3 linked regions of the Rhinolophus ferrumequinum genome follow. The protein of the gene in region 2 purifies or fractionates together with the protein of the main gene of each other region. This does not show direct contact. Links are inferred from orthologs where the notes say so. Each region holds a gene or a part of one and is shown on either strand. Other genes may lie near its edges.

What was found.
Region 1: the proteins of EGFR (region 2) and OS9 purify together in Homo sapiens (affinity purification with mass spectrometry; 3 studies listed by BioGRID and IntAct, with this or other methods). This does not show direct contact. The link is inferred for Rhinolophus ferrumequinum from reciprocal best matches to the Homo sapiens genes EGFR and OS9.
Region 3: the proteins of EGFR (region 2) and XPOT purify together in Homo sapiens (affinity purification with mass spectrometry; 4 studies listed by BioGRID and IntAct, with this or other methods). This does not show direct contact. The link is inferred for Rhinolophus ferrumequinum from reciprocal best matches to the Homo sapiens genes EGFR and XPOT.

Annotation. Positions count from the first base shown.
Region 1 is NC_046293.1:56,600,234-56,606,741, reverse strand, and holds the start of OS9 (protein OS-9), read right to left. Parts: upstream 3,511-6,508; 5' UTR 3,469-3,510; coding exon 3,307-3,468; intron 2,879-3,306; coding exon 2,702-2,878; intron 1,866-2,701; coding exon 1,802-1,865; intron 1,672-1,801; coding exon 1,595-1,671; intron 1,415-1,594; coding exon 1,316-1,414; intron 1-1,315. UniProt on the Homo sapiens protein: Lectin component of the HRD1 complex, which functions in endoplasmic reticulum (ER) quality control and ER-associated degradation (ERAD).
Region 2 is NC_046303.1:4,399,707-4,403,306, forward strand, and holds the start of EGFR (epidermal growth factor receptor), read left to right. Parts: upstream 1-807; 5' UTR 808-1,033; coding exon 1,034-1,121; intron 1,122-3,600. UniProt on the Homo sapiens protein: Receptor tyrosine kinase binding ligands of the EGF family and activating several signaling cascades to convert extracellular cues into appropriate cellular responses.
Region 3 is NC_046293.1:61,441,830-61,448,337, reverse strand, and holds the start of XPOT (exportin-T), read right to left. Parts: upstream 4,197-6,508; 5' UTR 3,790-4,196; intron 699-3,789; 5' UTR 609-698; coding exon 548-608; intron 1-547. UniProt on the Homo sapiens protein: Mediates the nuclear export of aminoacylated tRNAs. In the nucleus binds to tRNA and to the GTPase Ran in its active GTP-bound form. Docking of this trimeric complex to the nuclear pore complex (NPC) is mediated through binding to nucleoporins.

The sequences.
Region 1 (6,508 bases), on a different chromosome or scaffold from region 2:
AATAGGCATCTTGGCCTTCATATGCCCAACACCAACCTAGTTTTCTCCTCCAAACCTGTTCCTTCGTACTTTACTAAATGACAATTCCAGTCTTCCAGTTGCTCATGCTAAAACCCTGCAGGCAGTCATACTTGACTCTACCCCACAGCCAATCCATCATAAAATCTAATTGGCTCTACCTTCAAAATATATCCAGAATCCCAACTGCTTCCTACCACCTCTACTGCTACCACTCTGGTCTCGGTTGAAATATTTGGATCTTATCCTCTGAACACGGCAGAATCATCAAAACTTTTCGAGGACTGGGCGGAGAAGCGACACATGCTTATAGTATCATGTTGGAGCCAGCTCACACCAGTTCACAAGACCCAACTAGCAAATTTTCAGCAACGTTGCAAGACAGTTGACATCATGGTAATAGCATTAATTTGACCATGGTGGGAATATTTATAACATGGATATTGGCAAATATTATAAATCAGGACGCCCCTCTCCACGCCCCTTACCCTACCCTAATGCTGTGGATGTGCAACATTTACCAGCACACAATTGTATGTGCAAATCTGTATTACAGAAAGGTAATTCTTGTTATGTGGTTCTCTACAGGTGTGTACATTTGTGAACACACATTAGAATCACCTAAGGAACTTTTCTCACCATACATCTGCCTGCCTGCCTGAACTCATTGAGGACCACTGCACCAGAAACACTTGTTAAGAGGCTGTTGGCAGTGATGCAGGTGAGAGATGAAGGTACCAAGCATAGGAAAGAAGAAAGTTGTGAGAGAAATCTAGAATAGACTGGACATGCTTTGGCATTTACGAGAGAACTAGATCCCTTTCCTTTATAGCACTCCTCAGTTTGTAATCACAGACTCATTTCTGTGGTTCTTTTGTTAACATCTGTCTTCCTTTCTAGACTATGCACTCCACGAGTGCAGGGGCTGTGTGTTTGCCTACCACTTTATTCCCAGAGCAGAGCCCAAAACCTACTGAAGAAAGGAGAACACAGTGAAGGAGAAGGAAGGATCAACAATGACCTTCAGGTTTCTAGATTAGGTGACAGAAAGGAGAAACATTGAAAAAAAGAATAAGTGTGGTTGGATGTTCGGAGGGGAAGACTTGGGAAATGTTGACTAGAAGTGTTTCTGAATATCCAAGCAGTGATATCCAGCTGGCAACTAGAAATAAGAGTCTTAAACTTGGGTTTAGGGTCTGAGAGAGACCCTCATGACTGTACAATGCAACCTTGTCCTCTTCTATTAGAATCTGCAATGTCACTGAGGGAGTATCAACTTCCCTCTTTCAAAACTCACCCGAACCTCGGCCTCCCGGGGTCTCCCATTGAGGTCACACTTGGATCCATTGACATAGGTCTGGCTGTGGTAGCGTTTCAGGCGATGCTGCTTGGAAGCCTGGAGAGGACATCAGGCAGGAGCGGTGGGATAAGAAAGACAGCAAGAAGGCAAGAATAGTACCTTGTCCTAACGGCCACCAAACCCCAGGAAACAGCTAATTCTAACCCTCCCCTTCTTTTCAGGGCTCTTAATCTGCAGCCAGGACCCCTTTTTCTCCCAATCCCACACTCCTGCCACCTTGGCTGTTTCATCATCCCAGTCGAAGGCCGATTGGTAGTAGCCGAGATACAGAACTTCACCTTTGATCTCTGAATCTGCAAGAGAAACCACAGCAAATTATGGTTACTCCCTTCTAAGAGGACTAGGAGGGAAGAGGACTGAGAAGGCAGGTCACCTTCCATGACAGGTTGCTAAGGGCTTAGGGAAAATGGAGGTGTGAGTCACCTTCCATGTGATACTGCTGGATGTGTCGTCCATAACAGAATTCATATGTCCACCAGTCCTTGGTCTGACAATAAAAAAATAAACAGTCAGGGGGATGGAGTGCAGATGTCTCTTCTTGGAACCAGAATCTCTCCTGGCTCCAAGACACATAACCTATCACCTACTTCTCATCTCCCTCTGCTTCCACACTCAATTCGCCAGATTCTCAATAAGGAGGGAGGGCTGTGACTCAGAGAGATACTTATAAAGTCTGTTTTCCACCTGTGGGCTTTTTAAGCCTACCTTTTTAATGATTTTTTAATCCTTTTTGCTCTCCATAAAGATAAGAAATCATGATATCCTTGAAGCACTAAGACCAGGGAAACATAAAATATTACAATATTAATTTAACTTCTACAACATTCCCGTGCTGTTCTGTCACTGGGGATACAGCTATGAACAAGAAAAATTCTCTGACCTCATGGCCTTTAGTGCTGGGACTAGACCAAAAATAAATACACTGATGATTCAGTTAGTAAGATAATTTCAGATCATGAAAAGTGCCATGATGAAAATGAAATAGGATACTGGGGCAGACAGTGATAGGGGCAGGGGGTGATTTTACCAGGAAAGCTTCTCTAGAGGAGTGCCCCTCCTACCCCACACTGACCCTCTTTAGGGTCAACCCTTGGCTTAACCCTTATTTTGAGATCTTCTATCCTAACCCTACTCTACATTCAGCGAAGTGTCACCAGTGGTTGCAAAATTCTTCGTTTCTTTCCTGTCTGTACAATGTATACTCCTCCAATGGCCTTCTTAACTTTGACAAGTCCTCCCTATCCAGCCTTACTCTCTGGCACTCTGGTTCTCAGATAGAGTTAGTACCCAAGCCCTCATTCCATACATCCCAGTCCTTTTCACCTTCAGCAGGCAGGGAGCATCTTTCATTGGGCTCAACAACTCAGGGATCCCAGGCCCTTGGTAAGCAGGTGTCTCCTCCTCCCTTTCACGCTGGAAGTGAATAGCTCCAGCTGGCAGGCGACATTCATAGCGCTGTTTGTACTTAGAGGAGACAATCACCACGTCTGAAGCTTGGCTCTGGGAAAGAAGGGAGAATAGGTGGACAGGGAGGCAAAGAGAGCCTAGGATCAGGCAGAACAACAAGATCCTCTTCAGACCCCGGGGGAAAGCCCAGTCAAGACAGAATGAGCCACAAGTCCTCCTAAAGCTTTGTTTAGCAGGTGACGGGAGAGGGCACACCCACTGCTCCATAGGGGCGGAGTCGGGGGGGTGGTTTCGATCAGGAACTAGGACCTGAAGCTGACAGCGGGAAGCCCCACCCCTCCCAGTCCCTGGCCCCAAGGGAATGGGTCTCAGTCTGCGATACTCAGGAGACATCGTAAAACTCCTACCTACTCTTCCTGATTCTCCCGCCGCTCCTTCGGCTTTCTCCTTAGCTGCCCTTCTTCCTGTACTTTTCCCCCTTCCCCTTGCCCCGGACCCTTGCCCGCTCTACGCCTCCTTACCTGCCCTCCCATGACAGGCAGCGGCAGGATCTCGATCCCATAACGCATCTCACTCAGTTCTTCCAGGTTCAGGCTCCCGACACAGCCGGTCAGACTTGCAGGTAACAGGAGCCCCAAAAGCAGAAGCCCCAACAGCCTGGACAGCAGCGTTTCTGCCGCCATCTTTCGTTCCCCTCCTTATCCAGAACGACTCCTTCCGCCCTAAACCTGGCAGCAGCCTCACCACGCCCATTAACGCCCCAAAATTTCATTGGCTAGATGTTCTGTCCCTCTCACCTACCTTATTCCCATTTGTAAACGTGACTTCAAAGCCCACGGGGAGGTGGATCACGACCATTGGCAAAATCACTCGCTGCTCGTAATTGGTTCGAGAGGCTAACCAACCATCGACGAGATAAGACCTCCTCCCACTCACTCCCACTTCCAGAAAGGCGTGGTCTATGCTGGGCCCTTTTAAGCAGTTTTCTGTCTTCGCACAGCTGTCACCCGCATCATTTCTTATTACTTTTTTTCAGTCGTTTCTTGCACTGTAGTTTGTCCCCATCGGGTGGAGGCTTGAGGCCAATGGGTGGATGCACGCAAAACCCCTGAAAGATACTTAATACTTGTTGCAAAATAATTATATAAAAGCGCTCCTCTTTTCATATATGCATACAACTTTAGGGCAATCTGGTAATTTGTGTCAAAACCTTTCTATACGATTCTGTCTGTACAATATGTTTTCCTCCAATAAAATTATCATAAATAAATAATGGGGGCTTCCAGTTAAAGACTGGGGAGAGGGAAAGGCAAATACACAAATTATCCTCCAGACCTTGTAAGACCAACGAGAAAGAGAAGGAGACAACAGCAGCAACATTTCAGAAGTTAGAAAGCAAATGTAAGAATGGTAACTGGTTTAGCAAACCTGAGAAATTGATTCCTAAACAAAGGTAAACATGAGCATGATTGTACCTAGAAAACTTCTCCGGGGAATCTGACCAACCCAAAAGAGAAGTCTCAAAGAGACTCTCATTAGGGTCCTCTTAATGAAATAGATGAAGGAATCCTACAATGAAGCCTTGGTCTACATGTCCAGCTCTCACACGATTTTTCCAATAAGCTTTATAATGTCCTCACTCTTAAATATAAGTAGACAGCCAAAGATAATTAGACAGTTAGGGAAAGTCTTTTAAAAAGACAAGAAAGAAAGCAAAACAAGCAAGAAGAAAAAAATAAATTTAGAAGAAACAAAAATTGCAAGGGAGAAAAAGACTTAAATAAATCCATCATTAATGTCCTCAGAGAGATAATATATTGTATCCACCACATAACAACAGGAAGCTATTTTAAAAGTAACTACAGGCCAGCCCGGGTGGTTCAGGCGGTTAGAGCTCCATGCTCCTAACTCCGAAGGCTGCCGGTTCGATTTCCACATGGGGCCTGTGGGCTCTCAACCACAAGGTTGCCAGTTCAATTCCTGGACTCCCGCAAGGGATGGTGGGCTGTGCCCCCTGCAACTAGGAAACGGCAACTGGACCTGGAGCTGAGCTGTGCCCTCCACAACTAAGACTGAAAGGACAACAACTTGACTTGGAAAAAAAAGGCCTGGAAGTACACACTGTTCCCCAATAAAGTCCTGTTCCCCTTCCCCAATAAAAATCTTTAAAAAAAAAAAAAGTAACTACAATTCAGATAAGGAAAAAGAACTCTTGGAAATCAAAACCATGATAGCAGAAATAAAAATTCAATGGAAAGACTGGAGGATAAAGTTGAAGATCAAATTACTCTACTTTAGGAGAAAATTAATAAAAATAAGAGGATCTCTCCAGGCCTGGAAAGAGAACAGAGAATCAGAGGGAAGAAATAATCAAAGAAATTATTTTAAAGTATTCTCCTGAAATGAAGAACTGAGCCTCTAAATTGAAAGGGCACACTAAGTATCCAGCAAAACAAATCAGGCCCACACCAAGATACATCATTATACACTATCAAAACATCAGGCACAGAGAAACAATTCCAAAGTTTCCAGAGAGAAAGAACAAGTTGCATACAAAGATCAAAAATCAGAACAGCGTTAGGCTTATCAATTCATCAACACCGTAAGGGAGAAGACAATGAAGAAATGCCTTCAAAATTTAGAAGGAAATTATTTCCAACGTAGAATACTACATTCAGCCAAATGGATTTAATCGTAAGTCCAAAATAAAGATAATTTCAGATATGTGAACCCTCAAAATATTGATACTCTAGGCATTGTTTTTCAGAAAGACTGGAAAGGATTTATTATATCAAGACAAGTCAGTAAGTCAAAAAAGAGAACAGTATGGAGGGATCCCTCAAGAAATGAGGGATCCAGCACAGAAAAGAAACAAAAGGAATCCCCAAAGCAAAAGTAAATGGAGATTCCAAATTGTAGAGCAGGCCTAAAGATCAATTCATCAAGATTAAAGCAGTTCAGAGGATTTGGGAATGATTTATTTAAGAAATACAATTGATAGAATACCTAATGCATTTGAACTTATTGAGAAGACATTTGTATAAGCAGAGGAGAGTGTGGGGCAATATTAAGTGATAAGCATGTAGAAAGGTGAAAGGGGAAAAGATAGCAATTCTAAAGAAAATAAAAACTTGTGCTAGGAATGCTAACCGTCTTCTGTTTTCTTCAATATGGTTGGTTATCCTCATACTAAAAACTGAAAGTCCTGAGTAAAATGTAAGTATTTTCCTTCTTAAAAGCATGGTAAAGCCAACAAGACAGTAAAGAATTAACCGGCCAAGCCGGCCCGGTGGCTCCGGTTGAAGCTCCGTGCTCCTAACGCCAAGGGCTGCCCGTTTGATTCCCACATGTGCCAGTGCCAGATGGCTCAGTTGGTTGGAGCGCGGGCAACTAAGATTGAACACGGCACCCTGAGCTGAGCTGCCGCTGAGCTCCCGGATGGCTCAGTTGGTTGGAGCGCGTCCTCTCAACCACAAGGTTGCCGGTTGGACTCCCACAAGGGATGGTGGGCTGTGCCCCCTGCAACTAGCAACGGCAACTGGACCTGGAGTTGAGCTGCGCCCTCCACAACTAAGATTGAAAGGACAACAATTTGACTTGGAAAAAATCCTGGAAGTACACACTGTTCCCCAATAAAATCCTGTAACCCTTCCTCCCCCCCCAAAAAAAGAATTAACCGGCCAAAATCTAAATGAAGTCAGAAAACTAGAGAGGTATATTCGA
Region 2 (3,600 bases):
TATCAAGCCTTTATCCAAGCGCCGGGCTTTTGCAAAGTAATTTACCGTGAATATTTGCTTGTCAAGTACCCCTGGCTGGCTCCGGGCCTAGGAAAGCTGTGGGCTCCCTCGGTACTCGTGCATTCATTCAACTAACATTTCCCAACGTCCGGCTCTGTGCCAGGAGTTGGGTGCCCTCATTTCAGACGATTCTGAGGATGCTTGACGGGCTGTGAAGGACCCTCCGACTTGAGAGCCCCGACTCAGCCGCTGGCCCGCGGGCGCAGCGAGGAACCAACCACCTGGCTGCCAAGCCAGCCTCGGCCTCCAGTAGGGTCCCCGGGTGCTTCGGGGGAGTTGGGCGAGAATAAAGGGGTGGTTTCCTCACCCGTGCCATTATCCAGCCTTGGGCATAAGTCTCAGCCAGGTCACCGGAGCTGGTACAAGTTTGCTCTGCAAGTTGAAGGGGTGGGGGCAATGTCTGGACGCAGGCTGGGTCACCGAGATAGCAGCGCCAGTCCGCGAGGGCTGGGTCCTGACGCACAGCGCTGGGAACTCGCCTCTCGGAACACGAATTCCCAGGAGCGGCCGCCGGCTCCCGCACGCCGCCCCCTCCCCGCTCCGCGCCGTCGCCCGAGCGCTGGGGCCCGCGGGGGCCACCGTGGTCTGCCCCTTCCGCGCGGCTGCCTGCCTGCGGTCCCCGCTGCTGGTTATTCCTCCCTCCTCCTGGCGTTCGGCTCCTCGCGATCCCTCCCCCTGCTCTTGGTCCCTCCTCCTTCCAGCCCAGGCGCCCCGCGCCCCCGCCCCGCGAGCTAGACGTCTGGGCAGCTCCGAGCGCTGCGCCGCGGCAGCAGCCTCCGCCCCCCGCACGGTGTGCACGCCCGCGGCCCCGGCTGCCCGAGTCCCCAGCGAGTCCCCAGCGAGCCTGCCCCGGCGGCCGCCGCCTCCCAGCCCGGACGACAGGCCACCTCCGGAGTCGCCGCCACCACGCACAGCCGCCCGGCTCCGTCTCGGACTAATTGCGGAGAGCGGGAGCGAGCGCCTGGGGGCAGCGATGCGACCCTCGGGGACTGTGGGAGCCGTGCTCCTGCTGCTGCTGGCTGCGCACTTCCCAGGGAGCCCGGCGCTGGAGGAAAAGAGAGGTACGGGCGTGTCCGCGGCCCCGCGCCACCCGGCCCGCAGCCGGCCCTCCTTTCCTGCTTCCTTGAGGAGCGGCTGCGCTGCTGGCCGGGACCGTGGGAGGAACGGGACGTTTCGTTTCTGAACTGGGCGAGTCTGCGGCGGCCCGAGGCGGGGAAGCTGCGGGCGCGGGCTGCGGGCGGGTGTGGGGCGCTCCCCGAGCGCTCGCAACTTTTCCGCGTCACTTTCCTGCCCTCCTGCGCGGGCTTGGCGTCCTAGAGCGAAAGTTGGTGCGGAGCCGGGGGCCGCTCGGGTCCCCGCGGTGCCGGCCGGCGTCCGGGCACGTGCGCCCGCGCTGTCCACTCAAGGGGCCAGGCTCGCGGGGCGCGCCCCCCAAGGGCTTCCGGACGCCCAGGATGCGGGAATCCCTCGGGGGACCTCCCGGGGCTCCCTACACCCGCGTCTTCCACTGAAGCCGGCTCGCTCCTTTCCCGGGCGTGGAGCTGCAGCCTCGAAGTGGGAGGCCCGGAGAGCTCGCCTCTGTCGCTAACTACCTGTGGCTCCCGGCAAGGGACTTAGTGTCCTCTTCGGCTCCTGGGGCGCGCCCCCACCCCCGCACCCCCGAGCTCCCTCCGGATCGTCCGCGGCCCTTGTCCCTCCCGGGAACTCCCGAGGTTTGCCCCCCACCTGCAGCACTTTGGTCACGTCTGTGGGCTTCGGGGTGGAGCGGGGCAGAGCGGTGCGACCGGCTGCAACCGGACAGCTGGGTCCTGGTGCTCACCTGCCTAAGGATCAGGACCCCACAATTTTTCAAAGTAGGGCTCCTATTTTGAAAATCCCGAGATTTTCTCTTTGGGACATTTCTTTTAGCTTTTTTAAAAATTTGACATGGGGCCAATCAAAATATTAAACTTAATTTTAAAAAAAAATGAAAACCGGATTTGGTGCCAAGTGTCCAGAGCGAACATGAGCGAGTCTGGCTTCGTGACTACCGACCATAAACCCACTTGACACAAGAAACATGTCTCAGAAGGTTTAACTGCACAATTTCAAAATCCTGCAGCCGGGTTCCAAGAGTCAGGTCTGTACTTGCAGTTGATGTCATTGGCGCAGGGAGTGGGGTTTGGTCCTGAGGGCGTTCGCTGGGGGAGCGTCAGGGCCGAAAACCGCGCTTCCCAAACTTGGGTGCAAATTAGAATCGCTTGGGATTTAAAACCAAACCGAACCCAAAATAAACAACGATGTCTGGCTCCCACCCCCCAGACATTCGGATTTCCTCGGTCAGGAGTGAGACCTGGCCTTCCGGGTTTGTACAGGCTCCTCAGGTGATTTTGTTGGGCCGCGGGATGTGAGGGATGACAGGCAATGAGTAGGGCGATTCGCAAAGACTCCAACGTCAGATGCTCTTTCTGGACATCGGGAGTTTTACCAGCAGTTGCAAAATACTGTGAGAGGAGACGGAGGTGATTTCAATAATAGTGGATTAGTTTTTTCACCGAAAGCTTTTCCTCCGGAGTCTGACGCCCCCTCTTCCCTGCTGTGAAACGGTCCCTTTGGTCCTGCTCCTGAAATCAGCTGACCAGGGCCGCCTCTCAGGCAGGTCGCTCTTTATTTTCTCTGCAGGGGTCGCCTGTCCTTTACATTAAAGTCTTGGAGCACCTCAAGCATCACTTTTCTCCAGAAATGTCCCCAGTGCGTCGCTGTTACCCCTTTGAACCCCAGGATTAGTGTGTGGAGATCTGTTTCTGAGAAAAATCGAAATACCGCTTAACTTGCCTGTTGGTCCTGTACTTGCTTAAAGCGGAATGCTCCTGAAAAAGAAAATGGTGAGAGTAGGCGAACAAATGTCATTCAGTGAAAGTAACATTAAAGACCAAAATTTAAGGGGTAAGTTATCAAAAATGAGATATGTTTTACCAAAAGTGTTAAAGACCCGTATCAGTCAAATTCAGTTAGTTTTATTCAAGAAAATGTGCTCATTTTAGAGAGATTTGTTTGGCTCTGAGGTATGGTATCGTCTCTTCCTCTTGTACTTAGTACAGTCAGACACGAGTTTGACTGTCCTATCAATCCTTGTGACTCTTCCATCATGCATATGAGGGGAAACTGAGGTACAGAGAAGTAAAGTGACTTTGGCATAGCTTGTGAGAGGCAGGACCAGGATTTAAACGTAGGCCATTTTGCCCAGAACCCTCTGCGGCCAGCCATCTCCACTGCTGTGTGTGAGTTCTGGTTTCAGGAGCGCCCGTTCAGGTGTGTGTGAGCATCTAATGTCAGCTGCTGGGAGGGGGAGGGAATGGACCAGGGGCTGGGCTTCTTAGGATGGTCCCTTCTGTGAACTTGGAACAAGCCGCCGCCTGGTCAGCAGTCTAGACCCCTGCCCACAGTTACTCAGTAGTTGCTCCGGCTGCCTTTCCTGGTGGCAACTCAGTCACCAAACCAGCAATGAACGTGGAGATCGCTCAAGGAATGTTGAACAAGCCCCTTGTTCTTGCAAAATGG
Region 3 (6,508 bases), on a different chromosome or scaffold from region 2:
ATGATTACAGGTGTAGGCTACATTATGTTTAATTGTTTATATTTACCCTAATATCCAGCACCTCATATTGCATTCCTTAATCATGTGATCATTTTAAGTAACCTAAGACGTGGCATATCATAACTGCCTATTTACATGTCTGGTTGGACTAATTAATAAGGATGCTAAATAGCACTAATGCGAGGGTTAACAACTGGTGTAGACCAACTCATGTGATGGGAAAATAAAATATGCATGTCTGCGATTATGGAAAGTCCCCTGAACAGTCCCTTGTGTTACAACTTTAAAAATAGTTGATTGATGTGACATAAAGACCTACCTTGAATCACATGAGATTTTAACTTTTGTTGAGACCACTAAACAGAAAGTAAATCACAACCCTCACTGTCTTCTGTATTCAGAATATATCCAAAGAGCTCAATTGGGTTACCTCTGTTCATTGTACCCAAATTAAATCTTTGTTATCAGAATGTGTTTTTACTCAAGTCTTCTAATGCAAATCTATGGTAACATGCTTTGAAAAAATCACTAAGGCAGCTTAACTTACCCCTTTGTCTGAAGTCTGAATCGGCATTTGGACTGAGCCCTAACAGAGCCTGCTCATCCATCCCAGCAGCTATGCGGCTATGTGGCTATGCGAGCAGCTTTCCGATGGCAACAGACGTGCCCACTGACCCCACAGAAGGATCTGCAAACATCTGCACGTGCACACAATGGAAAGAAACACAACGCTTGATAAACAAAATAGATGCTTAGCCAGAATACCCTAACAAGTGGAAAATATTATGCAAAGAAGTTTAAGTGTTCAAAGAACTTCTTTTGAAAACAATTCAAATTACAACTAAAGGAATCTAAGACTCAGAAAAATGGGCCTGCTAAGTACTCCATGAATGTGTAATTTCTAAAGACGTAAAGTAATGTCATTAAGGTTCTCAAATTTTCTTATTCAAGACCATCAATAAAGCACAGAAAATAATTATTTCCTACTTCAAACAGTGGAGCATCTACTTTATGCAAGTTTTTAATATATATCTCCAGTGAGTATTTAAAAAGTGCAATTGTCCAACTACATGAAAAAAATGACAAATCCAGATTAAGATAATTATAAACATTTGCCTACTTCCATTTATCAATATCACAAACTTTAAGGGGAAAAAATGGAATAGCTGACTAAACAGCGACCTCAGAGTTCAATATTCTTATTGGAGTGCCTACAAGTACTTCAAGAGGTCAAATGAAAAAGAGTATGAGTCAAAACCCAGTCCATTTAGCTTTTGAACAATGGGCTAGCTCTATCTTTTACAGGTTGCTGCTCTTGCCAGCCAATTCTAGAAATTCATTTCAGTGTTTTTTTTAGTCGTTATAAAATTTTATAAATACCTAACACTATTCTTAAGAACATTTTTTTTTTCAGTCTCTGGAAAGTAATGCATTTTTTTCACAATCCAGTGTCAAATAAGAACACGGTACGGAGGTCCCAAGAGAACAACATGGTTTTTGAGAGAATGTGTATTTACTGGAAGAAACAAGGAACAAACTCAAATAAATGCAAAAATTACATTTATTCTCTCAAGACCTGTGAGGTAGGGAGAACAGGCCTTACTAGTCCCATTAAAAGGCTGTGTGGCGTTGTTTTGAATTATAACACAGAGAACACAAACGCCTAAACAGGCCAATGGGCAAGGGGTTGGGAGGTAGGGGTAACAGCCTTTTTGGAACTGTGCGGCCAGGATCAGGATGCAGGTTAAGGAACCCCACTACAGTGTGCTTTAGTCCTCCCCTGGGCCTGCCTGATGGAACAGCAACTCAGGGTATGTGCTGAGGCTGGGGAGAAGCCGGCTCGGCCCTTTTCATGGGTACTATTGCACTTGCAGGACTCCAGCAAGGTAGTGTAGTTCCCCACTGGCCTGAAGATTAAGATCCAAGCAGTGGTATTCTGCCTTTCATCTGCCCCCATACTGCTTCTTTCTTGTTCTTGGTTAACCCCTGCCAGTCCTTCAGAATTCAGCTGAGAGGTCACCTCTCCCAGGCTTCTTTGACCCCTATCATCCAACTCTCTCAAATTGGATTAGATGTCCCTCCTAAGAGCTGATAGTCACCACCTGCTTACCAAGTTTTCTCTGGCTAACCTTAAAGGGCAACGACTGATTGTCTTGAATACTCATAACTATGCATCTAGGATACAACGGAACAGAGGTTTGGATTTAGGAAGACATGGATTTGTACTCCAATCCCGTCATTTTCAAAGTGGGGCCCACGTGAACGAACAACTATGAAATCCGAGAGCCCTTTCCATAAAATGGGAAAAAGAGCTTCTGCCTTATAAAGTTGTAAAGACTTCAATGACATGAAGGTATGCCTGGCACAGTGGGTCCTTAATACGTTATTTACAATTCAGAACTAGACACAGTAGATGGGAACTACAAGTATTCTAGATTAAATGTCATATTAGTAAATTGGCATTTTAAAACAGATGTGAAAACTCAAAGGCAGTGGTTCCTCTCCACCTCTATCCGCCCCCTCAGCCAAAAATTACAAGAAAATGTGATGATGAGTCTCCTGAAAAATGCACACACAGAAAGAAAAGACAAATTCAGTTTCTAGAAAGTCCAAGCTTGAGAAGTCCGATAAAAGATTCCTTGAATTTGGCATGGCTTTAGGGAAAACTGTTTAAGCTGGTCAAGTCACTTTGATTCTATCAAGGGAACACAGGGTGGTCCTAAGATAAAACGTGGCAAATAAAAACTACCTGAGGCAAACAAACTTGTTACAGTTGTCAGTACAAGAAAGAATCCTTCAAAGAGGAAGCACTTGGATAATAATCACTATGCAATGGAACAGATAATTACCCACGTGTGTGCAAACACCTGAGAAGTTACAACTTCTGCGAAAAGGTGACAGTTTTCCCCTTGTAAAAGGCTGTGCTGTTGTAAACACATAATGTTCTAACACGGCACAGTCCTGCAGGTTTAAATATTTGTTACAATGCGATAAACACTTCAATTACGCATTTAGCAAATGTTCTGGGAGGAAGGCGAGCAACATACTTAAAATTCTAACCCCTAACTTTTCCTAGCTAGCCATTAAATCAAGAATTAAACAATTTGGAAAAATTCTTCCACGCTCACAAGACTGTTCAAAGATCAGGACTGAATCTTTCCAGCCTTTTTAACACCACGCTGACAAGTCGCTTTAATAAAACGTAACTTCCCCCAATAAAAACTAATTAGTACTTTCAAAAAGTATTTCTTTTCTCGTTACAGGAAATACCACTCCTGCAGAATTGTGAGGAAGGGACGAGAAGAAATGGCGTGTCTCTGCTGGCAAATTACTACACACACACACTTTTCTCTTTTTTGTCCTGGGGCGGGGGGCGAATCAAGTTAAAGCCCTCTGCAGTTGCAACTGCTGAAACACGCAGCTACTACAAATGGGCTTGGCCACTTTTACTAAATAGGGGGCCACAAGCGATGCCGACCCTCCTCCGCTGGCCTCGTCGCCTTGCTCCCTCCGGATCCCTCCCCTAAAGGAAGCCTCGTGGCAATTTGGGTGATGAAACACCCGGCAACCGGCGGCCACGCACTCGGGACGCGCTCCGCGGCGGCCACGGCTAGTACCCACCCCCACCCAGTCCGCCCAACCTCCCGGCACACCGCCATGGAGGGCCCCCGGCCCGCACCCCTCCCCAGCGTGGGGGCTCCCGCGGCCAGTCCTCCCAGCCAACTTCCACGCAGCCTCTCGCGAAGCGAGCCGGGTCCGAGTCCCGCTGCCCCCCAAACCCCGAGTCACCTTCCCTATCACTCCATCCCGCCTCCCCGCCTGCACTCCCGAGTGCCGGTCAGCCGAGCGGCGCCGCACGCTGGGAGCGGGGAGAGCGGCCCTCGTCCTTGTTGCCGTCGGTCTCCGCCACGGCGCAGCGCTAACGCTGGAGACGGAGCTGGCCGGGACCAAGCGCCTCTCGCCGCTCCGCGTCCCCTAGCACCTTCTCTCGCGTGGCGCCGGGCCGGCAAGCTAGCATAGGCAAGCAGGCGGGGTCAGCGCCCCAGGAAAGGAAGGAGCGCGAGGGCCCGGCCAACGCCGCCACCGCCGTCGCCGCTGAGTCAGCGCGAAGCGCGCTCCCAGCGTCGGTGCCGCGCGGGCCAGCGCCAGCAGCCTCATGGAGAGAGCAGACGGCAGCCGGCAGGCTGGGGCCGGGAGCCTACAACTCCAGCATGCAACGTGCAGGCGGTGCTTCCGGGCGGCGGGGCGCACACGCGCTCCCAGGCGCTCGCCGGGAGGTGTGGTCGCTCGGGCCTGTGGTGCATGCTGGGATCCGGCCTGAATCCTGCTGGGGGTGTTGAACCCAGTCCCTTCTGCGCGGGGTCCGAGCCTCGCGGGTGGGCTTCGTCAGTTAGTTGATAGATTAGAGTCCCGAGATCCGGATGACGTGGTCCAAACCACGTATGAGTCGGTTGTTTAATTGCTGTTCCGTGGTCCCACATGTTACTACTCATACTAGCGACTAATTACTTTATACTTACTCTATACTCCGATGAGCGCTTCAGCGTTTTAAAGTGAAATTTTTGAATTTCACTTTAAACGTACTAATATTTCGTCCTTTGTGAAAAGAAGAGCATTCTTAGGCAATCTTAGTCGTAGGTTCTATGCTACTGTTAACTTTGTTTACTCATTCACTGATTTATTAATTTATTAATAAAGCCTCGAGGCAGTATAGGCTCACGCTGCCTATATTCGAATCCCAGCACCCCGTTCACTAGTTGTTGACCTCAGTTTCAGGCATGGTACATAATCTGTTTCTATTTACTCATCTGTAAAATTGGGATGATTAAAATACTGACCTCTAAGTGTTATTGTGAGGATTGAGTTAATACGGGTGTTTGGCACACAATAAGTAATTGATACTTAGGTTTCACTGTTGATTATTCAATAAGTGCTGAATACAGACTAGGTTGCAGTCACTGGGACTACAGTGAAGAACAAACAAAAGTTGGAGGGAGGAATGGGAAGAGAAGTAGAATAAACTTAATGTAACAATGTAACAGCTACATTTATTTAGCAACCCACCAGGTACAAGACACTGCACCAGCTATTTCATATACAAAGTTATTTTGAATCACTTTTGCATCACAGTTTGCAATTTCCTCCTTCAGAATGTCAGACTAGGATTGCTGTCCCTATCCATTACATTGTATTCCCTGAGTCTAGTACAGTGCCAGACTAGTTACAAATCAGTAAGTGAATAATTGCGTGGATGCTTATTACATTAGCAGTGTAGGTCAACTGTGCACTATGGAGGTCAATACTAATCCTAGTCTGAGTGGCTCCAAAGGCTTTAACATGTTCAGTATATCGCAATGCCTCATCTTAAAGAACATCAAAATACGGTCTCTTACAGTTACTGTCTTTATTTGCCCTTTTCATTTATAAGTTCATTTTGTGGATTCTTCATATGTTAAGTATCATATGAAGCTTATTTACAGCCTATTTAGTATCCACAGCTTATCTACCATTGACTTAGTAACACTGACCCTTTATGGTAGCTCAAATACCTAGGATTTTAAAAATCTCTTTCAGTTTTGTAAACTCACATTATTATGGAATAAAGAAGTACATGGAATCCAACTGAAGAGGACCTGAAAGGGATATTAAATTTGACCATTCCGTATTCTGTTCACCAGTCCATGAGGGGATGGGCAGTTTCTCATCTAAGACTAATATAAAATGCCAATTGTGCATTGTCAACATTTTTCATCATTTATTATGTGTTCTAAGTGTTCAGACATTAATCTTCACAACAACTCTATAAAGAATTATATGCTTCATTATGGTTTACAGTATGCCTTCATATATCTTTTCTACTTTGTTTGGTCCTCTTAACCTTGTAGGGATAGAGCAGGTATTATCATCATCACCATTTTTAATTTACATATAAGGAAACCAAGGAGGATCTGTTTTAAGTAACTTATCCTAAGTCACATAACTAGTAAATTGGTAGGCTGGAGCCCTAGACTCATGATTCTACATGTAAACCAAAATTAAATTTTAGACTAATAAAGAATAAAAAGCATTTATTTGAATAAAAGGAGCTGCAGACCTGAAGACACAGATTCAAGGAGCAACCTACATTGTGTTCCACCAGGACAAAGGGGAGGCTGCCTTTGAAAATTCCCACCCAGGTTCCCAATTAGGTCTGTTTTATGTAAATGAAGTACCCAAATTTGTACATTTCTGATTGGTCCGAATTTAGCAGTCCTGATTGATCAACAATATGTTTCCTGATTGGTTGTTATGGAGCGGTTCTGATTAGAGGGGACAGGTCTTAGTCCATTTGGTTGAAAGACGAAAACAGGAACTCCTTTGTAGTTGTTGACTCAGTCTAGGAAGTCTAGAGTTCAGTCTGGCGCTCTTTCTGGTCAACAAATGGCCACTAGCCTGTTATTATTTATAAAATTGGAGCACTCAGTTAACCATGGGGAGTCCATCTCAGCAGATAAATTCCTCCTCGGCG